Struthio camelus: one gene and its partners. The protein of the gene in region 1 purifies or fractionates together with the protein of each later gene. This does not show direct contact. Links are inferred from orthologs where the notes say so. Each region holds a gene or a part of one and is shown in the gene's direction. Other genes may lie near its edges.

Region 1 (7,924 bases):
TATCTCCATTTTGGCCTAGATTTGGATTGCAATTTCCATTATGAGGCTGGACTGCTTTGTTTGTAAAAGCCAATTTTTTTTAGTTATTAGGTCCTGTGTTGACCACAACAGTCTATCCATGCAGAGGAAGTTCAAAACCAGGAAAATTAGACTATTTGGACACAATTGTCTTTACAGCATTATCTGCTATGGAGCAGCCAGATTTCACTCGCCTTCCATCTGACCCTGAACTGCTTTAGAGTGTAACTTTAAGGACTGCAGAATAGCGATGATTTAACTGCACTTATTTGACATAGTTCATACACGTTTTAAAAGACAGAAACCACTTATCTTATGAAATATTTTCAAGTGTATGTTCCTATTAGCGCTAGCTATAAAAATAATGCCTCTGGTTGTAAGAAGAGACATAATTCTGCTCTTGCAAAATAATCATTTATTGTGTTGCTATTTAAATACATCCAACAATATAGACATTTTATGCAGCACCACTACCACCTACTGGACAATGGAACCACAGTTGCAAGAAGCGGCAATGTCTCTTCCAGCTATAAATTAGCATGTATAGAAGACAGGCCCTTTGTTATAAGCCCAAAAGCATGTCCAACTATACATCAGCTGGTTAATAAAAACATTATCTTCTCAGTAAAATCCCCCCAAACTGTCTGATGCCATTCTTTACAGAGTATCTACGCTACCACTACGCTAACTGCTGCCTAATAGACAGCACCAGCATTGCAAGGAAGTCTCTAGTTATAGCAATTTTCCTATCTGTTCCTAAAGTACTGGAAGATTTATCCAGCAGCTTCCTATTAGGAAACCTAGCTGAAAGCCTCAATGTTAACAGCAAGTAGGTTTGGCTAAGACAAGAACTAATTAAGTTCCTTTTTCTTTCTGCTGTTTACTAAAGGAACCATCTCTATGGCATTTGTGATGAAGAATAGTCTTAAATTTACATGTCTTAATTTTACAATAAACGACACCAAAATCCTATGCAACAAATATGACAAAAGGCTGTATCAAAATCCCAGTAACATAGTATTAGATTAGTTTACTTTGTATGTAACACTATAACTGAAGTGCATCTTTAGACTCTGTATGAATATGGCTTATCTCTACACGTACACTGTAATACTGCAGTACAAAGTACAAACACCTCATAAAAAGTAGGGATTTATGAACTGATACATTTTTTCTGGTAGCTACTCTGTTGCCCATATATAGATGAAAATACTGGATGCAGTTAGAAACTTCCAAACATAGCAAGGACATGCCTGAACTTGCTTTGATCTCATAACAAACGCAGAAGGAACAAACTCTTGACAACAGCTGGATACACACTGTTTTACATAGTGCCAATATGCAATTATGCAGCTATCCCTCCAAGCATAGACCATTTTGTGAAGGTTCTTCTACAACCTATTGTTTATAATTTGGATTCTATAACACGGTACAGTTAAGTCCTGCTTAGGGTTTTCATCAATATTATTACAGAAGCTCTGTTACTGGCAAGCACAGAAAAAATATCTGTGTTTCTGGGTGAAGCTAAATCCAGCTTTAAGAATACAATTCCAGTTTGGAAGAGTTAAAAGATCAGAGGTTTCAAGATCTGCCTAGCCTTCATAGATGTAATAGCATGTGCTCAAATTATAACACGTGTTGAAGTAGCTTCTAGAAAGGCATTATCCTGACTTGAAGAAATCAAGCAAAGCAAAACAAAACAAAACATCCCCTCTGCCTTACCTTTCTTCCCTTAGCAATTAGTTCCAAAATAGGTCTAATTGTCCTTATTTCTTCCATTTTCTAAAATTATTCTGTACAGCTTTAGCTTTCAGTCACTGGACCTTGTTATGCTTTCATGTCTTCAGCACTTCACACTATTTTCCTCTCAAAGTACTTCAGTGTTATAATCAAGTCACCTCTCAATGTCCTATTACCAGCTAAACAGATTCGGTACTTTTAGTCTTCCACTGAGAGACATTTTCTCTAGCCACCGAACAATGCTGGTGGCCCTTTTTAGAAGTCTGCAGACTGCAAAAAAACTCCAGACTCTAGAACCATATACCGTATTTCAGTATTTATTCTCACTCACGCCCTTTATAGAAGTAAAATAATCTCATTACTCTTGCTCCTCTGCTTATACAACCACGGACATTTTCTTCTTTTCCTACTTAGTTGCCTTTGGAGATATTTGCACATTACATGGCTCCTCAGTCCTCTTCCGTCACTTCATTCCTGAAGATATGGCCTACATATTTCTTGTTCATAGATGTAAAGTTGCATTCAGTTGTATTAATGTGCATTTTAACTGACAGGTGTGCTCAAAAAGTCACTAAGATTGCTCTGTATCAACAAACTCGCGCATACCTTTCAACAATTACTAAATCGTTCACAAAGTCTTATCAGCAAATGCTTTTATATATATTTCCCGAATATTAAAGACTGTACTTTAACTTTGTTGTTTCTCTTAGGCTTTGTCTTATCTACAAAGAGCATACAATAAATTCTGTATTTTAATTATCACCACAGTACAGAAACCTCTTTCATATTCTGTCAGGATATCCTCTGAGGACCTAAAGCGAGCATCATAGAACGCAGAAGACAGATTTCCCCCCTTAGCATACCCAAACAGCATCCAAGCCACCCTCCTGTGAAGCACTGCATACCGTAGGACAGGATGTTGGCAGGAGACACTAATCCTCCTGGTAACACCAAGAAAATTTTGGGGCGCATGCTTAATTTGTCTGGCTCACAGGCTCAAAATTGAATTAGTCACCAGATTTCCATCAAGAATTTTTTTTTCCTGGAGCAGGCTTGAAGAGGTCACTGAGTTTTATCTCCCCTTTCCTCTCCTGCTGTAAGGCCAATTAGACTCTTTTCCCGTATTTATACTCTTCTATTCTTAGCATTTTCTTAGTTACAGTGAGCAGAAGGGATACTTTGTTAAGCAAAATACCTATTGCAAGACTATCTACAATTACCAGATGAAAAGCCAGCCAATCTAGTCCTAAATGCCCAATGAAACGAATTCCTAACCTCATTTGGGCATTATTATTCAAAATAAATACATAATTGACAAGGATTTTCTGATGAGCTCACTTAAGACTGCAGTCGTTACTCTGAAAAACGTTCACGTCAGCCGTAAGACTTCCCGTATTTAATTTCAGCTTCTAGTCTAAGAGATGCTGTAGTTAAAGCACAACTCTTTTAGGACAAATAACCACTTTGAATACTAAGATGGCCATTAAAATGGAGAAAATGCCGTAATACTTTGAAAGATCACCCTTGCTCTTAAAAATACGCAGGCTTCATTCTAACCTGGTATTTCTCAGTCTTCGCTTCTTCTCACACTGGATTAAAGAATACTTTACTGTAAAAACTTTAGAAAGCTTGTACAGTACACTGCTTGACAACATAGTAGTAGTAGCATTTCACTTAATCCTTTGATGGAGCCAGTGTCCCAGCACATCTCAGCATCTTCCTTCGAGAACATGAAAAGCAGCTGTGAGTATATTTTGGCATCTTTTATACACTACAGTAACTTTCAGATTACGCATATTATTAAGGACAAGTTGGGACAGACTCCTTCCAAAGAGCAACAGTATATGGTATTCCCTCTGATTCCCTATTCTAGACTGTTTAGCACTGAATTCTGCATGGCTTTAATTATCAGTTAAGTATCTTGAAAGTATGTGTTTGATGCTGTCTAAAATAAAGATGCAAAACAGAATATCTATCACGCGCACGCAACCTCAAATACCAGGCTGTCTCTTATAGTAGCTAGTGGTCAGACCTGAGATTTGAGGTCACTCGTTCATGAACAAACAGCTGAGCCTTGTCCTGAAGAAAAAGATTTTCATGAAATTCATACTTTCAGCTGACATTTATCCATTTAAAATTCCTGCTGCACCTACAGTGTGTAACAGGGAGCCAAGAAAATTACACGCCTTGTGCCAAGGAACTGCAGCTGCAACAATACAAAGACAGCAAAAGAGCACGGGGAGGGCCACGGCTCTGTCTGAGGACATGTATGTTGCTGACCTTCTTTTCCACGTGATTTGAATGCGGTAGGGGCGTTGTTAGGGAAAAACCTGGCTACACAGGAACAGCACAACCGAGAGCCAAGCACAGGCCCCCCAAGCTGCAGAAAGCCTCCTTCCGGCTCTCCCAGCGCCGCCTCGGAGCGGGCCCCAACCCTCAAGGTCCCGCTCACAGGCCCCAGCGGCGCTCACGGGCCCCAGGTGCCGACCCCCGGCGACGGGCTGGGGCCTTGAAGGCCGAGGCGCCCAGCCCAGCCCGGGCCCGGGCCCGGGCCCCGACCCCGGCCCCGGCCCCGCTCCCTGGGCCGCCCTCCGGCCTCAGCCCGCACCCGCTAGGCGCTAGCAGCGCGCATGCGCAATACACCCCGCCTATTTCCCCCCCCCTCGCCCGGGCGGCGGTTTAACAACGCTCAGCCGGTGTCCGGCCGCTCCCGAGTAACAGGGCGCGGCCCCGCGGGGCAGGCACTACAGGGACCGGGACCACCACCGCCGCCGCCTGCCGGGCCGGGCCAGGCCGGGCTGAGCCGGGCCGGGCCGGGCCCGGGCCCGGGCCAACGGCGCCCTTCGCTGCGCCCCTCCAGGCCGGGCCCAACGGCTCCCTCCATCCCCGCCGCGCGTCACTGCGCCTGCGCCGCGGCGAAGCAGGTGCCCGGATGAACCGTGGCGCGCCTGCGCGCTGGCCCCGCCCCGCTCTCGTTTCTTCACGCGGTGGCGAGATGCCCCCCCTCTGCAACCTCCCGCCCCCCCTCACGTGACCGAGGCGCGTGACGCAGCGAGGCGCTCCGCTGGCCAACGGCGCGGGGCGGCGGCACGTGACCCGTGGCCGCTCTCGCGAGCGTCGGCGCCCGCCGGAGCGCCTCGCCCCTCCCCCCGCCCCCCCCTCCCTGCGGCCCAGGCGACGCGGCGAGGCCAGGCGAGACGGAAGCGGCCGCGGCCCGACGGGACCGAGAGCGGCGCCCCCCGCCCCGGCCCCGCCGAGGTGAGACCCCCCCCCCTTTCCCTCCCCTCCCGCCGCTGCCGCCGGGCGGGAGCCGCCGCCCGGCCCGGGCCCTCCGCCGCCCCCTTTGTTCGCGGCCCCGGGGCGCCGCGGCCTGCGGCGGGGCAGCCTCGGCGCGGGGGCTGCGGCGGTTGAACCGCGCGTTATCCAAACTCGGCGAGTTGCGTTTCCAATGCTTTCTGCGTCCGCTCGGCGCCGTTTCCCTGGCACTGCCGGACCGTGGGTTAGGAAAGGGTAAACCTGTTCGCGATGCGTGTTTCTTGCAGATGTCGGAAGACCTCGCTAAGCAGTTAGCGAGCTACAAAGCTCAGCTTCAGCAAGTGGAGGCTGCCTTATCTGGGAATGCCGAAAATGAAGACCTGCTAAAACTGAAGAAAGACTTACAGGTGAGACTTTAAGGGCATGAGTAGCTGAAACTTCTAGGTCTTTAGGGATTGTTTTCCTAGATGCTCGCACTGCAATAAAAATAAATACCTGATGGGATTATTACTTTCTTTTCATATAATTTGCTAGCGTTGTGGTATGGTTGTTAAAAAACAAAGTTTGGCCTATTTTAAATCTTGTCTCCCCGGATACTCAAAAAGATGTACTATCATTTGTAGCAAACCCTTCTGCTTAAAACTTTTAGCAAAGGTTGTATACAGCTAATAACTTTTCTCTTTAGAACATCACTAAAGCTGAAAATCTGCCTAGAAGTCAGTAGGACAAGAAAAAAGTTGGTGGAAACAATTGTGTTTTTTAGCTTCCAGGGAGTGAGAGAGCGATGAAAGATATGCCAGTGCTGTCTCTTTCTCTCTCATTCTTTATTTTTTTTTTTTCCAAACATTCCTTAGAATGATCTCTCTCCGCTTTAACTGCTAACCTTTGGCTGAGATAGTATCAGAACTGCGATAAATCAAAAATAAGGAAAACTAAATTTTAGATATTGATGAGGGATAAAATGTTCAAATAAAATTATGCAGTGATTAAACAATGTTGTTATTCTTGTTATTTCTACTAGGTTGAAGCCTAATGGTTGGGCTTAACATTTTACCTTTCTACTTATTCTTGAGTTGTCAAATTCATTTGATCCGGAATCTGTTTATTTGTTACATGCGTTTACAATTATACAAGCTCTGGAGTGTAATTCTGTATTCCTTGTATATCTAAGCCTTGATTGTGTTAAGATTTTTATATGAGAAGGGAGAATCAGATTTGTCCTTCATTTGGTATCTGCAGCTCCTAACCATTCGAACTTACTGCATTGTCAAGAAGTAAAACTCATTTCTGGTCCTTAGGATATTGTTCAGTGATAGGAAGACTGCCAGGCTAATTATAAGGTGATATGTAGTCTTTTATATTCTTATGTGTATACTAGACACATTGGCATATAAGAAAACAGCAGTACAGTACAAATTTGGCATGTCAGTGCAAAAATGCTGCTGCTTTTCTATTGTGGGTTGCTTTAGGTATCAGAATTAAAAAATATATATAAAACTGCCCAGTACAAAATTCCGTAACCACTATTCAGAATGGAAATAACAGCAATAGAAATGATACTTCAACCAAAATACAAGTGCTTCAAATCAGTCATCTTTAGAATTCCTTTTAAATTGTAAAGGCTTTGTGCCCATAGGGCACCTTGTAGATCATCTAATGTACTTCGCTGTACACTGTTAAAAGCATGTGTATATTTTTATATTTTTAAAATACACAGCAAAACCCATATGGGATCACATTTCCGATACCAGCACGATCTCGGCTTTGATATACAGAGATCATTGATGTGAAAGGACAACTTGCAAACTTTTTTATAAAAGCTCTCTGCGCAGAATGGGGAAGATGTTTACACTTTCGTCCCCAAAAGGTTTGCTATATCTGTATGTTCCACCTTGAAAATGACATAGAAAATGTTTTGCAAAGTTAATGTATGCCAACCAACCTATTGTAAAAATGTTTCTAAGTCTTTAGCCTCCCAGTTACATAGCTTTTTGTCTGCTCAAAAAGAACGTTACTATGTAACTGAAACTTTTTTTTTCTAATCAGAAATAAGTGATGCACTATGCAGGTGTCAGAAATGATGCACTAGAGGTGCATTTAGTATACTCAGCTTATTCCTGAGTAACAGGATCAAAATAAGCATTACAAGAAATGTTTCCGAATACTTAGCTTTTCTTCTTTTGTTTCGCTGAAACACTTCTAGGATAGTGTCCATGCAGCCCAGGGCCAAACTTAACTTTTGTGTGAACCAGAGTTGATCTTAGCTGTCATCTTCTTTAACTGGAGATGATATTGTGGGTATTGCATTCCAGAATGCACAGCTCTGTCTGAGCGAGAAAAGTCCAGTTGGCAAGGAAAAAATTTGGCAAACTCAAACTGCTGTTCTCTGTGGGTTGCACTTCCATGTCACAGGGGATGTGGCAGCAAGTCATACTGTATAACTCGGTTGGCTGTATTGAATTTTCTTGGTAGCCTAACTCTTGTTCAGAAATTTCCTTTCACTAAGCCACTCAGCTTCCCCTAAAGACTTCTTTAGAATTATCTTGTGAATTGCCATAAGATTAATGTTTCTGTCTTTTTATATGTGCTTAGCATTATGATATGTGGATATCAAATGAAGATTTTTACCAGAAGTTTGCTGTTTCTAGTTTGCTGCTTAAGTGACTTTATCAAAGCCGAAGAACTCCTGGCAGACTTGTCTGAAACTATTCATGTTGAATTCTGTAATAAACCATTTATGAAGGAGGCAAGAATAAGTCAACAATAAGTTTCATATTACAATGGTAGCCTGCATAACTGAAACACTCTCTTTCAGGTAGCTGTTGTCTGGTTTGCTGTATTTGACCTGCTGAGTTAGATGCCTATTTCAAACTGTGATGCCCCTTGGATTTGCAGAATATTATTATGTTGA
Region 2 (7,365 bases), on another chromosome or scaffold:
CCCCAGCACACCCCACCGACAGGGCACTACCCCGCACACCCCCAGCACACCCCACCGACAGGGCACCGCCCGGCACACACAGACCCCCAGCACACCCCACCGACAGGGCACCGCCCAGCACACACCCCCAGCACACCCCACCGACAGGGCACCGCCCCGCACACACACACCCCCAGCACACCCCACCGACAGGGCACCGCCCCGCACACACACCCCCAGCACACCCCACCGACAGGGCACCGCCCCACACACACACCCCCAGCACACCCCACCGACAGGGCACCGCCCCGCGCACACACCCCCAGCACACCCCACCGACAGGGCACCGCCCCACACACACACCCCCAGCACACCCCACCGACAGGGCACCGCCCCACACACACCCCCAGCACACCCCACCGACAGGGCACCGCCCCGCACACACACACCCCCAGCACACCCCACCGACAGGGCACCGTCCCGCACACACACACCCCCAGCACACCCCACCGACAGGGCACCGCCCCGCACACACCCCCAGCACACCCCACCGACAGGGCACCGCCCCGCACACACACACCCCCAGCACACCCCACCGACAGGGCACCGCCCCGCACACACCCCCAGCACACCCCACCGACAGGGCACCGCCCCGCACACACACCCCCAGCACACCCCACCGACAGGGCACCGCCCAGCACACACACCCAGCACACCCCACCGACAGGGCACCGCCCCGCACACACACACCCAGCACACCCCACCGACAGGGCACCGCCCCGCACACACCCCCAGCACACCCCACCGACAGGGCATCGCCCCGCACACACACCCCCAGCACACCCCACCGACAGGGCACTACCCCGCACACCCCCAGCACACCCCACCGACAGGGCACCGCCCGGCACACACAGACCCCCAGCACACCCCACCGACAGGGCACCGCCCAGCACACACCCCCAGCACACCCCACCGACAGGGCACCGCCCCGCACACACACCCCCAGCACACCCCACCGACAGGGCACCGCCCCGCACACACCCCCAGCACACCCCACCGACAGGGCACCGCCCCGCACACACCCCCAGCACACCCCACCGACAGGGCACCGCCCCGCACACACACACCCCCAGCACACCCCACCGACAGGGCACCGCCCCGCACACACACACCCCCAGCACACCCCACTGACAGGGCACTGCCCCATACACACCCAGCACACCCCACCAACAGGGCACCGCCCCGCACACACACACCCAGCACACCCCACCGACACGGCACCGCCCCGCACACACACACCCCCAGCACACCCCACCGACAGGGCACCGCCCCGCACACACCCCCAGCACACCCCACCGACAGGGCACCGCCCCGCACACACACCCCCCAGCACACCCCACCGACAGGGCACCGCCCCGCACACACACCCCCAGCACACCCCACCGACAGGGCACCGCCCCACACACACCCCCAGCACACCCCACCGACAGGGCACCGCCCCGCACACACACACCCCCAGCACACCCCACCGACAGGGCACCGTCCCGCACACACACACCCCCAGCACACCCCACCGACAGGGCACCGCCCCGCACACACCCCCAGCACACCCCACCGACAGGGCACCGCCCCGCACACACACACCCCCAGCACACCCCACCGACAGGGCACCGCCCCGCACACACCCCCAGCACACCCCACCGACAGGGCACCGCCCCGCACACACACCCCCAGCACACCCCACCGACAGGGCACCGCCCCACACACACCCCCAGCACACCCCACCGACAGGGCACCGCCCCGCACACACACCCCCAGCACACCCCACCGACAGGGCACCGCCCCGCACACACACCCCCAGCACACCCCACCGACAGGGCACCGCCCCGCACACACCCCCAGCACACCCCACCGACAGGGCACCGCCCCGCACACACACCCCCAGCACACCCCACCGACAGGGCACCGCCCCGCACACACACCCCCAGCACACCCCACCGACAGGGCACCGCCCCGCACACCCCCCCAGCACACCCCACCGACAGGGCACCGCCCCGCACACACCCCCAGCACACCCCACCGACAGGGCACCGCCCCGCACACACACACCCCCAGCACACCCCACCGACAGGGCACCGCCCAGCACACACCCCCAGCACACCCCACCGACAGGGCACCGCCCCGCACACACACCCAGCACACCCCACCGACAGGGCACCGCCCCGCACACACACCCCCAGCACACCCCACCGACAGGGCACCGCCCCGCACACACAGACCCCCAGCACACCCCACCGACAGGGCACCGCCCCGCACACACAGACCCCCAGCACACCCCACCGACAGGGCACCGCCCCGCACACACACCCAGCACACCCCACCGACAGGGCACCGCCCCGCACACACACCCCTAGCACACCCCACCGACAGGGCACCGCCCCACACACACCCCCAGCACACCCCACCGACAGGGCACCGCCCCACACACACACCCCCAGCACACCCCACCGACAGGGCACTGCCCCACACACACACCCCCAGCACACCCCACCGACAGGGCACCGCCCCACACACACCCCCAGCACACCCCACCGACAGGGCACCGCCCCGCACACACACCCCCAGCACACCCCACCGACAGGGCACCGCCCCGCACACACAGACCCCCAGCACACCCCACCGACAGGGCACCGCCCCACACACACCCCCAGCACACCCCACCGACAGGGCACCGCCCCACACACACACCCCCAGCACACCCCACCGACAGGGCACCGCCCCACACACACCCCCAGCACACCCCACCGACAGGGCACCGCCCCGCACACACACACCCCCAGCACACCCCACCGACAGGGCACCGTCCCGCACACACACACCCCCAGCACACCCCACCGACAGGGCACCGCCCCGCACACACCCCCAGCACACCCCACCGACAGGGCACCGCCCCGCACACACACACCCCCAGCACACCCCACCGACAGGGCACCGCCCCGCACACACCCCCAGCACACCCCACCGACAGGGCACCGCCCCGCACACACACACCCCCAGCACACCCCACCGACAGGGCACCGCCCCGCACACACCCCCAGCACACCCCACCGACAGGGCACCGCCCCGCACACACACCCCCAGCACACCCCACCGACAGGGCACCGCCCCGCACACACACCCCCAGCACACCCCACCGACAGGGCACCGCCCAGCACACACACCCCCAGCACACCCCACCGACAGGGCACCGCCCCGCACACACACCCCCAGCACACCCCACCGACAGGGCACCGCCCCGCACACACACCCAGCACACCCCACCGACAGGGCACCGCCCCGCACACACACCCCCAGCACACCCCACCGACAGGGCACCGCCCCGCACACACAGACCCCCAGCACACCCCACCGACAGGGCACCGCCCCGCACACACAGACCCCCAGCACACCCCACCGACAGGGCACCGCCCCGCACACACACCCAGCACACCCCACCGACAGGGCACCGCCCCGCACACACACCCCTAGCACACCCCACCGACAGGGCACCGCCCCACACACACCCCCAGCACACCCCACCGACAGGGCACCGCCCCACACACACACCCCCAGCACACCCCACCGACAGGGCACTGCCCCACACACACACCCCCAGCACACCCCACCGACAGGGCACCGCCCCACACACACCCCCAGCACACCCCACCGACAGGGCACCGCCCCGCACACACACCCCCAGCACACCCCACCGACAGGGCACCGCCCCGCACACACAGACCCCCAGCACACCCCACCGACAGGGCACCGCCCCACACACACCCCCAGCACACCCCACCGACAGGGCACCGCCCCACACACACACCCCCAGCACACCCCACCGACAGGGCACTACCCCGCACACCCCCAGCACACCCCACCGACAGGGCACCGCCCGGCACACACCCCCAGCACACCCCACCGACAGGGCACTGCCCCACACACACACCCCCAGCACACCCCACCGACAGGGCACCGCCCCACACACACCCCCAGCACACCCCACCGACAGGGCACCGCCCCCCGCACACACACCCCCAGCACACCCCACCAACACGGCACTGCCCCGCACACGCGTTCCCACGGCGTGCTGAGTCATCGTGCCCGGGCCCAGGCGTCCGGGGACCCCTCCTCCCCCCGGGGCCCAGGCGTCCTGCCCCCCCCCCCCCCGGGTGCCCGGCCGTTACCTCAGGGCCGGCTCGGCCGCCTGGGTCCCACCCGCCTTCCCGCGCCGGGGACTACAATTCCCAGCAGGCAGCGCGCGGTCGCCGCCGTCATGACGCCATGACGCCATGACGCCAGGTCGGCAGGTCGCCTGGCGCGTGCGCGGCGGGAGGGGGCGGCGGGCGCGGGAAGGAAGATGGCGACGGAGCGGCCGGAGGCGGCCGCGGGCCCCGGCGCGGGGGAGTTGCCGCCGCCACCGCCGCCGCCGGCGCCCTACGCCGCCTGGGCCCCCGCCGAGCTGCAGGCCACGCTGGCCGACATCGGCGCCCCCGCGCAGGGTCCGCCGGGGCGGGGCGGGGGCCGGGGGGGTCTGGGGGTCAGAGTTGAGGGTATTTGGGGGCAGGCCGGGGGGGCGTTTGGGGGCTGGGGGGGGCAGGCCTTGAGGGGGGGTTGGGGATGGGGGTGTTTGGGGGCTGGGGGGGGTCGGGGGGGCAGGATTTAGAGTATTTGGGGACAGGCCGGGGGGCGTTTGGGGGCTGGTGGGGGCAGGCCTTGAGGGGGGGTTGGGGATGGGGGTGTTTGGGGACAGGGATGGGGGTGTTTGGGGCCTGGGGGGGGGTCGGGGGGGCAGGATTTAGAGTATTTGGGGACAGGCCGGGGGGCGTTTGGGGGCTGGGGGGGGCAGGCCTTGAGGGGGGGTTGGGGATGGGGGTGTTTGGGGGCTGGGGGGGGTCGGGGGGGCAGGATTTAGAGTATTTGGGGACAGGCCGGGGGGCGTTTGGGGGCTGGTGGGGGCAGGCCTTGAGGGGGGGTTGGGGATGGGGGTGTTTGGGGGCTGGGGGGGGTTCGGGGGGGCAGGATTTAGAGTATTTGGGGACAGGCCGCGGGGGGGATAGGGATGGGGATGGGGGTGTTTGGGGACAGGGATGGGGGTGTTTGGGGGGAGTTGTAGGAGTATTTGGGGCAGGGACGAGGGGAGGGTTGGGGACAGGGATGGGGGTATTTGGGGGGAGTTGTAGGAGTATTTGGGGCAGGGACGAGGGGAGTTGGGGACAGGCCGTGGGGTATTTGGGGGGAGTTGTAGGAGTATTTGGGGCAGGGACAAGGGGGGGGTTGGGGACAGGCCGTGGGGGTTTTGGGGGGGAGTTGGAGGAGTATTTGGGGCAGGGACGAGGGGAGGGTTGGGGACAGGCCATGGGGGTATTTGGGGGGAGTTGTAGGAGTATTTGGGGCAGGGACAAGGGGGGGGGTTGGGGACAGGCCGTGGGGGTATTTGGGGGGAGTTGTAGGAGTATTTGGGGCAGGGACGAGGGGAGTTGGGGACAGGCCGTGGGGTATTTGGGGGGAGTTGTAGGAGTATTTGGGGCAGGGACGAGGGGAGTTGGGGACAGGCCGTGGGGTATTTGGGGGGAGTTGTAGGAGTATTTGGGGCAGGGACGAGGGGAGGGTTGGGGACAGGCCGTGGGGGTATTTGGGGGGAGTTGTAGGAGTATTTGGGGCAGGGACGAGGGGAGGGTTGGGGACAGGCCGTGGGGGTATTTGGGGGGAGTTGGAGGAGTATTTGGGACAGGGACGAGGGGAGGGTTGGGGGCAGGCCGTGGGGGTTTTGGGGGGGAGTTGTAGGAGTATTTGGGGACAGGGACAAGGGGGGGGTTGGGGACAGGCCGTGGGGTATTTGGGGGGAGTTGTAGGAGTATTTGGGGCAGGGACGAGGGGAGGGTTGGGGGCAGGCCGTGGGGGTATTTGGGGGGAGTTGTAGGAGTATTTGGGGACAGGGACGAGGGGAGGGTTGGGGACAGGCCGTGGGGGTATTTGGGGGGAGTTGTAGGAGTATTTGGGGCAGGGACGAGGGGAGGGTTGGGGACAGGCCGTGGGGGTATTTGGGGGGAGTTGTAGGAGTATTTGGGGCAGGGACGAGGGGAGTTGGGGACAGGCCGTGGGGGTATTTGGGGGGAGTTGTAGGAGTATTTGGGGCAGGGACGAGGGGAGGGTTGGGGACAGGCCATGGGGGTATTTGGGGGGAGTTGGAGGAGTATTTGGGGACAGGGACGGGGGGGGGGGTTGGGGACAGGCCATGGGGGTATTTGGGGGGAGTTGTAGGAGTATTTGGGGCAGGGACGAGGGGAGTTGGGGACAGGCCGTGGGGGTATTTGGGGGAGACTCGGAAGGGCATTTGGGGACAGGGATGGAGGTATTTGGGGACACTGGCAGGGGGATTTGGGTGGGGGGGGGCATTTGAGAGCAGGTTTTGGGGTGGGGGGGAATTGGGGTCCCTCCGGGGGTATTGGGGGTCCCTGACCGACGGGTGCCCCACAGGCAGCCGGGAGGAGCTGGTGGAGCGGCTGCAGACCTACACCCTGCAGGTGAGCCGCCCCGGCACCCGCGGGTGGCCCTGCGCCGGGGCACCCTCGGGGGGGGTCAGCCCCTCCTCGTCCCCCACGTGGGTGCTGCCGTGTCCCAGCGTCCCCCCGGGTGGGGGTCCCCCATGTTCCAATATCCCCCCCCAGCTGGGATCCCTGCTCCACATCCCCTCCCACCATCTGGAGTGCAGTCCCTGTGTCCCCTCAGGGTGGGGGGGGGTCCCTACACCCTCCCCCGAGGCAGGGTCCCCAAATCGGACACCCCATCACCACGTTCCCCCCCCCCCCATTTTGCACCCCACAGACAGGCATCGTGCTGAGCCGCCCTGTGCTCCGGGCAGAGGAGGGCGACAAGGCGGCGCAGCCCCCGCTGCCGGGGCAGGTAGGGCCCTGGGGTGCCCTGTGGGGGGTGGCGGGTGCTGTGGGGGGCAGGGGGGGCTCTGGGGTGCCCCATGGGGGGCGGTGGGTGCTGTGGGGAGCAGGGGGGGCTCTGGGGTGCCCCATGGGGGGCGATAGGTGCCATGGGGAGCAGGGGGGACTCTGGGGTGCCCCATGGGGGGCTCTGGGGGGCTGTGGGGGGCCGGGAGGGCCCTGGGGTGCCCCATTGGGGGCAGCGGGCGCTGTAGGTGGCAGAGGGGGCTCTGGGGTGCCCCATTGGGGGAGTGACAAGTGCTGTGGGGGTTGGGGGGGCTCTGGGGTGCCTCATTGGGGGGCAGAGTGACGGTGGGTGCTCTGGTGGCAGGGGAGGGCCCTGGGGTGCCCCATGGGGGGCGATGGGTACCATGGGGAGCATGGAGGACCCTGGGGTGCCCCATTGGGTGGTGAA
Region 3 (7,282 bases), on another chromosome or scaffold:
GATCCTTTGGAGACAGTGAGAACGTGGTCCCTCCCGGCTGGAAGAGAAGACAAGGCTCTGCACAGAAAAGCAGCTGTGCCTGACAGCCAGGCCAAAAGATATGGGGATGGCCTTGGAGAAACATCCTGTTATTTTTGCCACATACCTCTTGCACAATGATTAGTTGTTGGATGAAAGGCTGCTTACAAAGGACGACACACCATGAGCCAGCTGGAGTCATGGCTATCAACACAAGGACAAACAGTGTGGCGGGAGGACTGGTGCTAGATTAGTCTGACAGATGGTTTATCTGAGGCTCACTTTTTTTGATAAAAATGTAATAGCACAGAAGCAGCAATCTGTCAATACCAAACCCTCCTAGAGAGGGATTTCCACAAGCACTAAGCCATAGCCAGTGTGTTTTTACAGCTTCTTTCCTCACAGGCAGCTGTGCAAATCACACACACTGACGATTTCAGCCAGCAATGAAATACCACCGTCTCGGGAATGGCAACATCACAGTAACAACTGGCAGCTGACAAAGAGAGGGGCTGAGGAACACTAGGCCCAGTGTAACCAGAGAAACACAGGGAAAAGCGGGAACTAAGTAGCAAAACATTTTCTTTTATATAGTATTTTTAATTGCATAAGGGAAACACAAACGGCATCTATATGCAGAACTCACTGATTGAGAAGACGTTCTCCTCCTCTTTGGTGATTCTGCAGTGCTCCAGCAGCAGAGCTCCGATGGGCTAGAAAAAGACCAGGAGAGAGGGTTTAAACACATGTTGTCCAGCCAGTGCTACAGGCATGGATCACTAGGGGAGAGTGACCAGATTCATTTTAACCCAGGAGGGGTTATAGGGGAAACCTATCAGAGGAACTGTATTTCCAGGAGATCTTTGCATATTCTGCACTAACTGCAGTAAAAAACAGAAAATCAAAACCAAACAAGTTATGCCAGTGTAGCAAGTTCCTGACCTTCAGCTGATGCTGGAATAAACGTGCATACTCACAGCCTCATTCCTTTGCGGAAAAAAAAAGATTTGCTCAACAAACTGTGAAGACAGCTTGAAACATGCGAGATATACATGTATACATATGCTTTGCTCACATAGTTCTGAACCCACAGAATTTTGCTACTGACTTTTAAGTTTCAAAACTTGATGCGGCTTTTAAGGTAATTTAGTCTACAATTAAAGGAACGTTCAGTGTTCTTCTAAGCAACCGATTTGTGTCTGCTGACATGCTTCATTTTACTAGTCTTATTTTTAACTCTCTGTTTCTACTTCCTCAGATTCAGTCTGGGGGTTAGCATGCACTTCTGTGATGCACAGACAGTGACAGAGTTTACTCTCTAGCTCAACAGATCAAATTAAGATGAAATATTTCAGAGGGCACAGAGAAAGACTAACAAAATTCCACATTTAACTTTGTAAGGGCAGGCTCAAAGCTTTGCAAGAGGCTAAGAACAGTGTGTTGATGAACTAGAACAGTTCAGGATAAACAGACAAACGGCAGGTACTATTTGCCACCCAGTGCACGCTGAGCAAGGACATGAGAACCAAGGAGTGATAGAAGCCATAAACAAAAGCAAACCACAAGTGAATTCTTTTGTCCAACCTAAACAAAACGGAAGAGACAAATAAAGCAGCAAAGAAGATACCGAAAAATCTGTTTAAAATATGTATTTCTGGCATGACAGTTTTACTTTAGCACTAATCACCTGCCAAATTACTTTTGATCCATTCAATAACATCCTCTGCCTTCCATCAAAACCCACAAAAATGCTTAAAAATAATAATTGTCAGAACAGAAAACAGCAAAACTAGCTTTAGGTTGCAGTAAAGGAGACAGGCTGTAAGGAGTATCCTCCGACTCTCATAACAGAACGCTCACGTGGGAGTTACAGACGAATCTTTACATCTGTCTGCATGTCTACATACACACATACAAGAATGACTGCTCAGCTTTTGGCCATACCTAGAGTATTGTGATTGCAGCTTCAGTGGAAAAGTGATTAGTGACTGCAGTTCAGTAGGCAGGAGAAAAGAAATATCTTAAAATAAGAGCATAACCATTATCAGGGTTAAATTTTGTAATGGACACAGTCTAAAAATGCCACATACCTCTTGCCAGCATGCACACAGCGTGTTTCTTCACACACGCTAAAAAGATTTCTTTTATACTCATTTTTCAACTAGAGACTCTTTAGCAACAGTTATTAAGGAATTCACTTAAAAACCATAATATCTCAGCAGTGGCAAAGCCAGAAACTGAAGCCAGATGTCTTATCCCTCATTCTACTTTTCTAGACCTAAACAGGGCCTCCGAATGCCAAAAATAATAATATTAACAGAGCATAACCATGCAAGTTTCTCAGGAACAGTGAGCACTGTATGTAAGCAATATTCCTGGTGTAGAAGAGAAGAAACAATGCTAATTCTTTTCCCAGGAGAGCATAATATAAACTTCCGCTCACAGTTTAACACGAAAAGCTGCAGCCCTACAACTAAACATTACAGATTCCATCTTTTGCAGTTTTGGGCAATGGTTATGTTTAAAAGACTCATTCCAGATGCATGCAAACAGTATCTGGATGTGGTTAGATGGCAGTGATTTCTTCTCACCCATAGGAGCTTTTACTGTTTTGATAGAAGAGCAAATGTGGGCTCACTGTTCTGGCTAGGGCAGCCTGTTACTGTACCAATTTACAAAGTACATAAAGTCAATTCACAGAGAAAAAAGCAGATTCCATACCTCCGCTTCATCTGTCCGGAAGTAGAAGAGAAAGTTGACAACAAGCTTCACAAGGCGTTTCTTTAACACTGCAAAGAAAAAGAGCATTCAGGTGGCAAGTCTGTGGGATGAAGCGTGTGAGCCAGCTGGCAACGGAAAGGAAAAGGGAAGCACATTCCATCTTTGCTAGCACCCAGCAACACGCTGATTCAACCAAGTCTAGGGGGAAGCTCCATTTTAATTTAAACCTTTGCCGCAGGAGCATCCAATACTAAATCATGCTTGGCCCACTCAGGAAATGCACCGTCTCGATTTATCCCAGTGGGCTGCAAAAAGATGACAACAGAAGTGTCGCAGATTTCTCTAACACCTTCTGGCTGGACCGATCCCAAAGTACGGTGTCAGCTATATACGTGATACAGCCTCCTGCATGTGGCATCTCAAATCCAGGGAGAGACCCTGCCTGGAACTATCAGCACAAAAGTCACTTCTTGAGGATAAAGCCTGTCAGGTCCCTGCAGGTCCTCAGGAAGACAAAAAGCTCTGGGCAACAGCATTGATTTAACATTTAACAGCAAGGAATATTGCAGCAGTATTTCAGCAAAGAGCCTCTTATTTTGACAGACACACTCAAAGCGTTGGGAGAGAGAAAGGAACGTATCTACTTTCCACCCTGATGCCTCCTGCTTCCCTTAAATCCCTCCACATCTCTCCATCTGCATATCCCTCCAGTTCTCCTATCACCCAGTCCCACTTTCACGGCCTCTGCCAGCCACACTCTGCCCCAGCACGTCCAGTCCAGCCTCCTCGTCCTGCCACAGTACCTCCACCCCAGCCCGAGCCCCTCCAGTCCAGCACCCAGTCCTGCCCCGATGCTGCACCCCCAGTCCAAGCCCAAGATCTTCATTCCTGTTCCCCAGCCTTATACCCCCGCTCTACCTCCAGTCCAGCCCCCCAGTACTCCCAGTCTGGCCCTTGCCCTTTCCCCCCAGTACTCCCAGTCTGGCCCTTGTCCCTTCTCCCCAGCACTCCCAGTCCGGCCCTTGTCCCTTCCCCACCAGCACTCCCAGTGCGGCCCTTGTCCCTTCCCCACCAGCACTCCCAGTGCGGCCCTTGTCCCTTCCCCCCAGCACTCCCAGTGCGGCCCTTGCCCCTTCCCCCCAGTACTCCCAGTGCGGCCCTTGCCCCTTCCCCCCAGCACTCCCAGTGCGGCCCTTGCCCCTTCCCCCCAGTACTCCCAGTGCGGCCCTTGTCCCTTCCCCCCAGTACTCCCAGTGCGGCCCTTGCCCCTTCCCCCAGTCCTCCCCGGCCCGCTGTCCCCGCCCGCCGGGCCCCCCTCACCGCTCCCCTTCTTGGGCACCCGCATCAGGATCTCGGCCGCCTTCTCGGCGGGCTGCCGGGCCAGCGAGAGCAGCTCCCGCTCGTTGTAGCGCATGGCGAGGCCCCGCCGCCCTCGGCCGCCGCCGCCGGGCGGCCCCGGCTCCCCTCGGCCCCGGCCCCGGCCCGGAACCGCTCCCGCCCGGAACCGCTCCCGCCCGGAACCGCTCCCGCCCGGCCCGGAACCGCTCGCGCCGCGCCGGAAGTCGCGCGCCGCGGGAAGAGGGGGGGGGCGGTGCGCGTGCGCGTGCGCGGAGCAGGGCGCGGGGCGCGGGCCGGTACGGGCCGGGCCGCGGGGGGGGGGGGGGTGCTCGGAGGGAGGGGTGGCCCGTCCTGGGGGTCAGACCCGTGCTGAGGGGCTGGGGGGGGGGGGAAAGGGGGACTTTGAGGGCTGCTCGGGGGGTGGGGGATTCGCGTGTGGAGCTGTGACCTTTGCTGCGGGGCCGGGGCGAGCGCGAGGGGCCTGTGACCCCTGCTCAGGGCGCGGGGGGGGGGGGGCGGCTCTGGGGCCTTCCTGGGGCTGCTGAGGCCGGGGCCTTGCTGAGGGGTTGGGGCCGGCGGGTGGCCCTGGCCTCCGCCGAGGGTTTGGGGGCTCAGCGGAGGAGGCTCTGCGGCTGTGCTGGTGCGTGTGTGGCGGGGGCGTGGGGCAACTCAGCCTTGGACCCTTGATGGGGCTCTGGGGCTGTTCGTTATCGAGATGGAGGGATTGGGGGCACCTAGTGGGGCTCGTGTGTTGCTAGGGGAGCTGTAGGGCCTTGCTGGAGCCCAGCTGAATGCTTGGGGGAGGAATCCGTCTCTCCTTTTTGCTGAAGAAGGCGTTGAGGAGGTTGGAAGGTCTCTGGGCGGGTTATTTAGGGTTTAGATCGTTTTGGTTCTACTCAACACGCAGCTTGTTGAGTCAGCGCCCCAAGACCTACTGACTTTGAAATTGTGTTCTGTAGCGAGCTCTTAGCGAACGCTTTTACTGTGCCCATCTCCTTTTCTTACTGGTGGGTCTAAATAGGAGAATGACGTCTAGGTTAGGAAAGGCATTAATTATCACCCATGTTGCTTTCCTTCATTTTTCCAGACTTTTTCGTTCTTCTGAACTAGTTGAAGTAGAGAAGTCCCCATCATGGATTTTCAGCATCGTCCTGGAGGTAAAACTGGAAGCGGAGGCGTAGCCTCCGCTTCAGAAAGTAACCGAGACCGCAGGGAGAGACTTCGGCAGCTAGCTTTGGAAACGATTGACATCAACAAGGTGAGCATTGACCAGTCTGTGTATTTAGGAAGGAAAGGACATGTCACTTCAGTCCTACAAACTGTGGCTAAGTTCAGAGCTCTGCTGCCTGGATGAAACAGTTTGGAAGATGAGAGATTTGGTGGAGAGTTGTAGATTTGAATGAAATACTTCTGTTTCTTTTAATGCAGGAGAAACATTTGTGAAAGGGCTGAACAGAGAGAGGCCAAAACTTGTGCATTCAAATAGCTGCCATTGCGTTATTCTTGGGCTTCTCAGGACTGGTTCATATTTTGCTGTTTCTTCACAGCATTTGGGTCTGCTGTTACCGCTTAACAAAATTAGTGTTGTTTGTCTCTGCTTTTATATTCCTAAAATAATGTTATGCTAATAATTGAAACCCAAGAACTCAGTTCGTCCAGGGCAGGAAAAAATCTGCATTATGTGTTTTGATTACTCTATTGTTTTGCCATGAATTTTGCTTGTGACTTTAAAAATTCTCTTCCTAGGACCCTTATTTTATGAAAAATCACTTGGGTTCTTATGAATGCAAGCTTTGCCTAACGCTACACAACAATGAGGTGAGTCTATCTTAATCTCCATGCAAAGAAATATTTTGGAATAATATTAACTTCAAATGCAACAATCTGAGGCATATGTAATGACTGATTACTGAGGAGATGGTGAGTGAGGAGTGGTTTGTGTGTGTTAAAGCACGACAGTTCGTGACAGCTCAGCAGTTGTGAGCAATCTGCAATTTTTGAGTAAGATTCCTCTCTGGTAAAGGGGTTAAAATATCCTTGTGGTTTAGAGCGTTTTTTACCTGTCAACATGTAACATAGCTTCTCGTCTATGACAATTATCTTCCAGTTTAAAAACAGTCCTGTCTTCATTTAACTTTCTTCTATCTTGCTTTCATTTCAGGGAAGTTACTTAGCGCATACCCAGGGGAAAAAGCATCAGACCAATTTGTAAGTCATTCTCCACTGTAGCTTTATTCTCCATTACTTAGGCACTCCAGAAGTATGATTGCGTTCATCTATAAATCTTGAATTATGTAGCGGGACACTGTGCTTGAATATCCTTTCACTTTTGAAGTGAACAGCCTGGCACTGGTGAGCAGGTATGGACTAGATCTGCTCCAAACAATGGTGCCAACAAGCTTCGTTTCAAGCTGAAGTTCAAAGCCGGTTGTGGAATTTCTGAAGGAAGGGGGAGAAAGAGCTTTAAAAGCAAACTGCGTAAGTCTGTTTATATCAGGAGTAGGTCTAAGCACCCCTCCCGCATGATTTCAGGGCCCGTCGAGCTGCCAAGGAAGCTAAGGAAGCTCCTGCCCAGCCTGCACCAGAAAAAGTCAAAGTGGAAGTGAAGAAATTTGTGAAAATTGGACGACCAGGTTATAAAGGTATGTCGGGGTGTCTGTCGTGGCATATACTTAATGCTTGGTGAGCTTGCTTGAAGTGCTGTGCTGTGTGTATGAATTATTAATTAGTCTTTTTAGCAGATCTGGCCATGAATAAGATATGGACTTATCTCCTGATGTCCTTGATTGTTTAAATTACCCATGGAACATCTCTTTAGAGCTGACAGTTGAGTGAGGATCTTTTTAATAAGAGATTGCTGTGTCTCAGTCTTTCAGCTCTTATTATAACAGTGAGACGGAAGATGATGACATTGCTTCAGTCTCTCCTCCCCTTTTTATTGTGCTGTACCATCTTTCAGTGATGCTCACGAATCACTCATTGGGTGTATAGCTCAATTTTTTCCCCTCAGCTCCCCATTGTTTTGCTTTAGCCTTCAGTCTGTCTCCCATCTTTGTTTGCAATGCACAGTGTGTCAGTGTCTTTGTCCCACAGCAGCTGAATTTCAGTAGTGACCCATAGTAGCTTTGGTTAAAGACAGTGTAGCATTTGGTAAATGAAAAAAATCTCACAATGTTTTGTTGCATGGAGCTTTGTGTATTTTGTA
Region 4 (7,874 bases), on another chromosome or scaffold:
TAGGGTTTAGAATAGCTGAAGGATAAAGTGTCGAGAGGTTCATTATGATGGATGTCTGAGGGCAGGCAGAGGTTTTTTGTCTTGGCAGGCTCAGAAATGCAGTCCTTATACCTTGCTTGATATCAGCCGTTTGTGAAGAGAGATTTGCATTTATTAACTTTCACAGGAACACTGGCCCAAATTAATACCGGTGAGATAGAAGACATATCCGGTAACTGAAAGGGCCATGATTTATGACCCATACTAGGAAGAAATTTCATGATTCTGGTTGATTTTCTTTAGTGCTTGGTGTTTTTTGTAAAATCAGCAGTATATATGACCAGTCATTTACATATAGATAGATATAGCTAGAGATATAAAATATAGAGCATACATTTGCATTAGAAAAGAAATGGTTCCGTTTAAACTCAGATTATAAACTTTAAACGATTTGTAAAACATTTCATTGTTAGGATCTCATCTCGAGGATGACCATTTAAAAAATAGACAGAGAGACAGAGTCGATCCTAAATGAGGCAAATAGATCTGAATTATCATTGTTAAAAAAACGTGCTATTTTTAACTTGCTACGTTCAGCTCTGCTTCTACAGATGTGTGAGCAAGGCAACTAGTTTAATGTGTCCCTTTGGCAGCCAAAGATATGCAGGGTGAAGCAATAATAAAACCATTGTCTTCTTACTTACAAAAAGATTTTGAATAGTATCTGCAATTGAAGTATCTCAAAATACCCTATAAACTTCTGTAAAGTCTCACAACCACATCATTAGGCAGAGAAAGACGAACTACAAGCAGGAGAAATGGGTAAATTACTGGTTACATGATCTGCAAACAACAGAAGTTGATGCCACAGCTAAGAATTAAGGGCAGATTTACTATTTCACACTCTGGTACATTATCAGGAGCCATAATATAAAATTAGGAGAGCTTTCTTGTATTTCATATATCACAAGTGAACTAGTTTCTGGCATAGCAAGAATTAGGCATACCCTCAATCTACAAAAGGATCCTCAGACGCCCACTTAATCCTACCAGCTATCACAGAGAGCTCTGTGTCTTTATACTGGATAGCCTGAATCCTGTTATGGGGCTGGTGAATCTCTGCCCAGCTTTCCTGAATTCCTGGTGTGCCCAGTTCATGCCCCGAGATGTTTTGCTGCAGAGCAGTGCGTGGATTATGGCTCCTCACCCCTTTTAGGGATGCCCGTTTACTCTCTGCCTTGGTTTTCCACATGTGCAAAGGGAGAAAAATAGCAGTAGTCCCATTGCCAAGCGGGATCAACGACATTTATAACTGAGCTGTTTGGGTGCAGCAATACTGGAAAAGGCACAAATAGATAAAGCAGGTAGAAGGTGACATGCCCTCCCAGGGCCTGACAGCCCAGGGCCACCCGCACCCCTGGCCTGACCCTGCTGTAAGGACACTGCCACTGCTGCCAAGCCCCGGCACCCAGGTCCAAATTTTCCGGCCAACAGCTGAGAGGACTGACCTCAGGTCAGAAGGGGGCTCTGGCCCAGCCTCAACCCCCCCCCCCCCCCCCGGCACTGCAGTTGCTATTTGCATAGTGTTAGCTTGTGGTGCATTATTTTATACCATTAGGTGTGCGGAAAAATTGAATATAAATAAAAAGTTATTTTGGGGTAAATCAACAGGAGAGTGTAGCCAGGAGCATGGCTTCATTAAGTGAATCAGTGCCAGAAACTTCTGCTGGCCCCTCGGAAGGGGTAAATCAAGGACAGGCTAATGTGGCTGGATACTTCTTTCAGCCACAGTGCCAGCTAATGATGGCTTCAGCTGGCCAAAGAAACTGGACCTGAATCTATTCCATAAAGCAAGACATGGCAGGTCTGTAATTTAGGTCTGATTTACTCTAAATCTGCGAAGCTTTGGGGTTCTTAAATCCAGTCTATTCCCAATCCATAGAGGAGTCTCCCTGCAGTGTATGTGCATGTGCGTGCAGGGGAAGGGAACTTTGATAGGCAAAACAGGACTGGTAAACCACTAAGTACCATCCTGTCCATACCCTGTGGAAGCTGCGTGTTAGGGATGTTGTTCAGGAGGCAAGAAATTTGTGTATGCCTATCGAAGCCCTGAATCCTGACACAAATTAAAGAGCCTCGACAGCGTACAGAATTTGTGAGAAAAGATAAAAGACACAAAGAAGCAGAAAGCAGTTTTGTCACTGCACTTCACAGTATATCCTGCTTCAGCACAACACAATTCCTGTCGGCTCTCACAGCACCTTGAGAGAACTCCATCTTTTGTGGGGGAAATAGCATATCCTCAAATTACTACGTAAAAGAGTTCCTTGGGTTGACCACTGCTGAGCTTAGTGATGCATAACAGCAGAAGGAGCACAGCATTGCTGTCCATAACCGTTCAGCCTCACAGGAGCTGGAAGTCAGGCTGAGGAAACAAGAGAAAGTTACTGCAAATTGATATTCATAGTGAACCCGAGCATGTGACGCAGTTACTTAAAATAGTTACATGCATTAAATTCCTGCAGTAGGGAATTACTGTCTGCCTCAATCTTACCCTCATCTATCTCTAGGCAGTTCAGTACATATCTCCTTTTGTGGCCGCTAAGTATGTGCAAGTACATCTTTCTAGAAATGCAGAATGTGAGCTTAATAATACTAAGAGAAGAGAGAGAAGACTCTCAGTATCTTCAAATGACAGTCTCGTTCACTTAAGAACATTTGAATACATTTAATTATGTGAAAAAATAAAAGCAAGGAACTGTTCAGCAAACTTACGTGAGCTAAGCAACACAAAGCAAAAAGAGGTAGATGACAGATGGACAGATCAAACACAGATATTCCCACAAACATACAACCTTGGCTTTATCTTCTTTAAGACTATCCTCCAGGAGTCCTAATGTGAACAATCAGCCTTCATAATGGGAATGATTTATAGGCAGAGAGTGTGATGGTTTTGCCATCATGTACTTATCTCCCTTTTTGCAAATAATTTCTACATTTTACCTTATCAGAAATTCGTTCAACTCACTCAACAGAAATTGTTTCACATTGCTTGTTGCAAAGGCTTGACTATCTTAGTAATTTAGCAGTTGTACAATAAAACCATAAATACAAGTAAATATACTACATAAGATTACATATTACACTGAGTGCTATGAAACGTCATTAATGTGTTGCAAGATTAAGCAATCCTGTATCTGAACTTTGAACTTAGGTTGTGTGGTTAGCCTTGCTGTTTTGCTTAGATTTTTGCCTACTACTGCTAAAAAATAAGACAATGACGAGTTAGCTCATTTGCAACACTTGATATAAGGGAGAGTTCCAAGGGCTTTGGATGTGGACAGAATCAATCCTATTCAGATATGAAGTGCAGTAGCGATAGTATTGAAATATGGATATATCACATTAAAAGAAAAACTGCTAGAAAAGGTAAGAGTTTCCAAAATGAAATGCTGAAGCTGCACAAGAGCAGTTATTGCAGAACAGCCAAACAATTAGTTTCTGTCACCATTCCTACCCAGGGCACGTTTCATAACCCTCTGATCATTCCTCTGCCCTGGTCTGGACTATGTCCAGCTTGTCCACGTCTTTGTTAAATTGCAGAGTCCTAGAATGAACTGCACCACGATGTACTCCATCAGTGGCTTTGACTGTGCCAAGTGAAGTGAAATGATTGCTTTCCAGGTTTTATATACAATACCACTGTTACTCTATCCCAGAATTGGATTTTCTTCTGCAGCAGCATGATGTTGCTGATACATATTTAGCTTTGATTTGCTATCCACATCAGATCATTTTCTCATTATTTTGGCTATTTTGAAAGTGTATACTTGTTTTCAACTTCCAATATGTACTACGTTATGCTCGTCTTCATTAAAGTCCACCTTCTTGATCTCAAATGATTTCTTTTAGGGATCAAGATAATTTTGAATCTCATCTTGCAGCTACTAGTAACTTTGGCCAGTTTGGTGTCATCTGCCAATTCTAGAAACGTATCTTCAATTCCCTTTTCAAAGGTCTTACTAAAATATTCAGTAGAATTGATCTGCCTAGAGTGCTTTTGTCCCCATTAGACAGAGAAAAACATCGGTAACTATTCTAAGGGCGATTTTTCACCCGTCTTGTGGCAAATATACAAATTTATGCCCTGTTTTTGTATCTGTTGCTTTGTCCTTTGTTATCGGCCCAGTTTGCCTGGTAAGAGCAAAGAAAGGTCACGCAATTTGGCAAAACGTAGCAAAGTTGCCAATCTCCACACCAGAACCAACCCTCAGCAGGGAGCAGCATCAGTGAGAAGCGATTTTTCAGGAAGCAGAGACTTATTTGATTGTATTTTGACTATCCGTGCAGTGCAGTGGAAGCGTCATCGTCTTTCGGTGTCTCAAACGAGAAGAAGGCATCTCGCAGGCAGATACTGAAAGAGCGCCACTCATTTGTCTTTGGCTGAAGACAAACGAGAAACACTGGAGCCCTTGTACTTCAGGATAACACAGCAGCTACTTACTGCCGTGCCAAGGCCAGCAGAAGACACTGTCCCCTATCAACTGGCCTGGAAAGCACCGCTCCCTGCCCTCGCCCTGCGTTTGGGCCCTGCCCGCAGCCCTGCTGCGCCACACGCCTCAGCCCGCCTCAGCGCCCCCCTCCGCGCGCGCCCCTCCCAACGGCCGCCCCCGCGCGCGCCCCTCCCAACGGTCTCCTCCACGGCGCGCCCCTCCCAACGGCCGCCTCCGCACCGCTCAGCCGCCCTGCCATTCGCTGACCGCGCCGTCCATCACGGCGTGGGCGGGGCTCCGGCGCTGGCTCGCGGGGCTGCCCGGCCGGCAGAATGGCACCGCCTCTCGGCCTTCACTGCGCTTGCGCGGGGCCCCGCGCCGCGCTCAACCCGTGCCCCGCCCCCCAGCTGGCGCTTGCGCGTTGAGGCCCCGCTCCCCCTCCCCTCTGTAGCGGAAGTGGCTGGGCCGAGCCAGTTCCGCCTCGGCGTTGTTCGCTCTGGACAAAATGGCGAAGATCGCCAAGACCCACGAAGGTAAAAAGCCCCTATAGAGCCGCGGCGGCGCTGCTGGTACCCGCGTGTCCTGCCCCGGCCCTCCGATTCCGCTTCTCCCCGACTCCTGGGCCGCGTCAGGCCCGGCTGCGCGGCCGGGGGCCGGGGCCGGGCGGGCTCGCCCCGGGCGGGCTGGGCCTTGTGTAATGGCGTCTCCGGCGGTGTCACCGCCATGCCCGGGCCGCCGGCTGGCGCGGGGCCGGGGCGCCGCTCAGTTCCGGCTTTGTTGACCCCGAGAGGCCGCCGCGGCGCGGCGGCGACGTGAGCGCGGCCCCGGTCGCCCGTGGGCCGCGCCGGGCCCGGCCCTGGCCCCGCTCCGCCGCCGCGGCCTTGCCCCCTGCGTGGCGCCCGCTCGGAATGGCGCTTTCCGCCCGCCTCGGTTTGACGTGACGCGCGTCAATAACGCACGCTTATTTTGTTTAAGTGAGCCCTTGGGCCTGTGTCCGCTAGAAAGCGGAGGCCGCGGGCGCAGGGTGAGCTGTGATGCTGATGGCCTGAGTTGTTGCTAGGCGTCGTGTCGGCACGGCGCTGTTGAGAAAAATGCCCCGAAGGAGGGGAAAAAGCAGCGTGAGGTCTCAGGCTTTTAAAATGCCGTTTCAGCACGGAGGCTTCCTGTCGACTGGGGGTTTACATGGGAAAACTGATCTCTGAGCAGTTTGTGAGTGAGGGTCTTTACAGGCAGTATGTTGTTGCTCTCTGAGGTGTTACATGGCTCTGTACAGCATGAATAAAAGCTATCTCTTTTGTCAATGTCAGGGGTTTGTTTAGCTCTTAAGTATCTTAAAGCAAATGGTGTTGTTTTTAGAATTGTACTGCTTAATGCTTTCCTGCAAATGTTTTCTGTTTTTGTGTTTTTACTCATGTTTCTGCGTGTGATAGATGAACTGCTGTGCTTTGTATTAATTTACATACTGGATTCACTAATCAAAAAGTACTTCTGGACAATGGTTGTACCAAGTGAGGTAGGCAGGCTGTCTCTCAGGGAAGTAAGTTTTGCACTGAAAAAAATTCCTAATTTAGAGGCAGCTCCAGGTTGACGTGGACTGCAGGATCTGGTCTGAGCTTATGTAAGAAGGGGAAGCTTAAATAATTTTCTTCACTTCTCCCCCCCCCCCCCCCAAATAATTTGAGATTATATTTTAGCATTCTATAATGTTTTTTATAGAGTTACTGAATTTATTTATCTTCTGGTTATATGCTATGGCATGTATAAGGTTTGTATTGGATATTACCCAATTGGGTGTTACACATCACAGTGCTCTGTCTCTCTCACTAGTCAAAGATATTTTAATAATAAAATAGCAATATGATGTTTTTTCTTATTTTTCTTATACACTAAAGCAAGTCATGGTCCATTGAATTTAACGGAAGTGTTGTCATGCTTCCAGTTATGAGTATTAACAGATTAGCTTTGAAGCAGGCTTTAAAGGGTTTTTTGGTATGTAAATAAATTGTTATGTACAATTGGCAGTCATCATGTAATGTTATCTTGCCCTACATAGACATACTGGCTGAATGACTTGATTTTTTTTTTCTTTTGAGTTGTATGTTTTTTTTTTTTTTTTATTCCTGACTTATCTCCTAAATTGAATGAGTTATCTGTTACTAAATTCTCTTAAGATGTTTCACATCTTTGTACTGCTTTTAAATACTTGCTGATTTGATGTGTTCAAGACACAACTTGGAAAAGATCTCACACAGTTTGGGATTATTTCACTTGCATGATCTACAGGGAAATACTCAGTTAAATTAAAGTTTCAAAGTTATAAAAAGGTTATAAAATAGGAACTTATAAAGTATCTTAAGTGCTTGAGTTTTGAAATGCTACTGAAAATAGGTTTTTAATTGACAGTGCCTTGTTAAATAAGAAAAAAGGTTAAAAGAAGCAAACCTCCAAACATAATAAAGATTTAGTCCTAACACGGAGGAGAATCCTAAAGTGATTAGGATTGCACAGGGCAAGCTAAGAATGCAAAAATATAATTAGTAAATTGGAAAACATAGAAACTACTTCCACTCTAAAATACTTAAAATACTACTTCAATACAGGGAATGATTCTTCTTTCTTTTTTTAATGACGAGTAACGTTTTCCTTTCCAAACGTTGTAGATGGAACTAATCTTATAATAGTGGAGTATGTATTTTGAGAAGGGCTATCATGATCTGACTGTGAACTAGGTTTTCAGTGACTTTCAATTCATATGTGTTCACTTTCATGTTATGTATTCACTGTATTTTCCAAATCAATTGTGCATGTTAAAAGTACTCTTTCAAAAATACCAAAATATGTTAAAGTTACTGAATGGGGTAAAATACAGAAAGGGGATGATCAGTGGGATGTTGTGCTGTGTTTTGTGGTCTCTACTGCTGTTTGATCGAAGTAACTTTCTGTGTTTAGGCCCTGGTTCAGTAAATCATCAGACAAGTACTTCGCTTTACAAAATCACATTCCTAAGCTATCGAGATTACTCTCATTCTTCATCTGTTTTATGTTTAAATGCTTTCTTAAATAGAGTGTTAGATTTTTCTAGAAAATGCTGGCTAGATCAAGGAAGGTAAACATCTCTTTAATCTCAAACTAAAGTCTTTTCCTGCCAAGTATGTGGTACTTTGGAAACTTGCAATCGAGTTGTGTCTGGCTGCAGACCTTTTAAACCTGCTGGTTAAGGGAGGGTGCAGCTCATCAAATGGATGTTCTCTTTAAGAAGTGCTTCATTTAGACTGTAAGTCTAGCACTTACGGACTTCATTGCCTTGGTTGAAAATGATCATGGCCATAAGTGGGGGTTTGCTAACCCTACTGATTCCATGCCGACTCTTTTTGTGGTTTAGAATAAGCTGGCAGGTTTTGC

The links.
Region 2: the proteins of SMNDC1 (region 1) and SF3B2 purify together in Homo sapiens (affinity purification with mass spectrometry; 3 studies listed by BioGRID and IntAct, with this or other methods). This does not show direct contact. The link is inferred for Struthio camelus from reciprocal best matches to the Homo sapiens genes SMNDC1 and SF3B2.
Region 3: the proteins of SMNDC1 (region 1) and SF3A2 purify together in Homo sapiens (affinity purification with mass spectrometry; 4 studies listed by BioGRID and IntAct, with this or other methods). This does not show direct contact. The link is inferred for Struthio camelus from reciprocal best matches to the Homo sapiens genes SMNDC1 and SF3A2.
Region 4: the proteins of SMNDC1 (region 1) and SF3B1 purify together in Homo sapiens (co-immunoprecipitation; 5 studies listed by BioGRID and IntAct, with this or other methods). This does not show direct contact. The link is inferred for Struthio camelus from reciprocal best matches to the Homo sapiens genes SMNDC1 and SF3B1.

Annotation. Positions count from the first base shown.
Region 1 is NC_090948.1:12,478,472-12,486,395, forward strand, and holds the start of SMNDC1 (survival of motor neuron-related-splicing factor 30), read left to right. Parts: upstream 1-4,916; 5' UTR 4,917-5,016; intron 5,017-5,300; coding exon 5,301-5,420; intron 5,421-7,924. UniProt on the Homo sapiens protein: Involved in spliceosome assembly.
Region 2 is NC_090976.1:1,018,034-1,025,398, forward strand, and holds the start of SF3B2 (splicing factor 3B subunit 2), read left to right. Parts: upstream 1-4,349; 5' UTR 4,350-4,375; coding exon 4,376-4,517; intron 4,518-6,495; coding exon 6,496-6,542; intron 6,543-6,843; coding exon 6,844-6,921; intron 6,922-7,365. UniProt on the Homo sapiens protein: Component of the 17S U2 SnRNP complex of the spliceosome, a large ribonucleoprotein complex that removes introns from transcribed pre-mRNAs.
Region 3 is NC_090967.1:3,447,219-3,454,500, forward strand, and holds the start of SF3A2 (splicing factor 3A subunit 2), read left to right. Parts: upstream 1-4,267; 5' UTR 4,268-4,373; intron 4,374-4,382; exon of another isoform or gene 4,383-4,434; intron 4,435-4,488; exon of another isoform or gene 4,489-4,929; intron 4,930-5,164; 5' UTR 5,165-5,209; coding exon 5,210-5,335; intron 5,336-5,823; coding exon 5,824-5,895; intron 5,896-6,238; coding exon 6,239-6,285; intron 6,286-6,609; coding exon 6,610-6,719; intron 6,720-7,282. Other genes in the region: PLEKHJ1 (pleckstrin homology domain-containing family J member 1), read right to left, coding at 665-731, 2,740-2,807, 4,060-4,153. UniProt on the Homo sapiens protein: Component of the 17S U2 SnRNP complex of the spliceosome, a large ribonucleoprotein complex that removes introns from transcribed pre-mRNAs.
Region 4 is NC_090947.1:11,827,226-11,835,099, forward strand, and holds the start of SF3B1 (splicing factor 3B subunit 1), read left to right. Parts: upstream 1-4,868; 5' UTR 4,869-4,977; coding exon 4,978-5,005; intron 5,006-7,874. UniProt on the Homo sapiens protein: Component of the 17S U2 SnRNP complex of the spliceosome, a large ribonucleoprotein complex that removes introns from transcribed pre-mRNAs.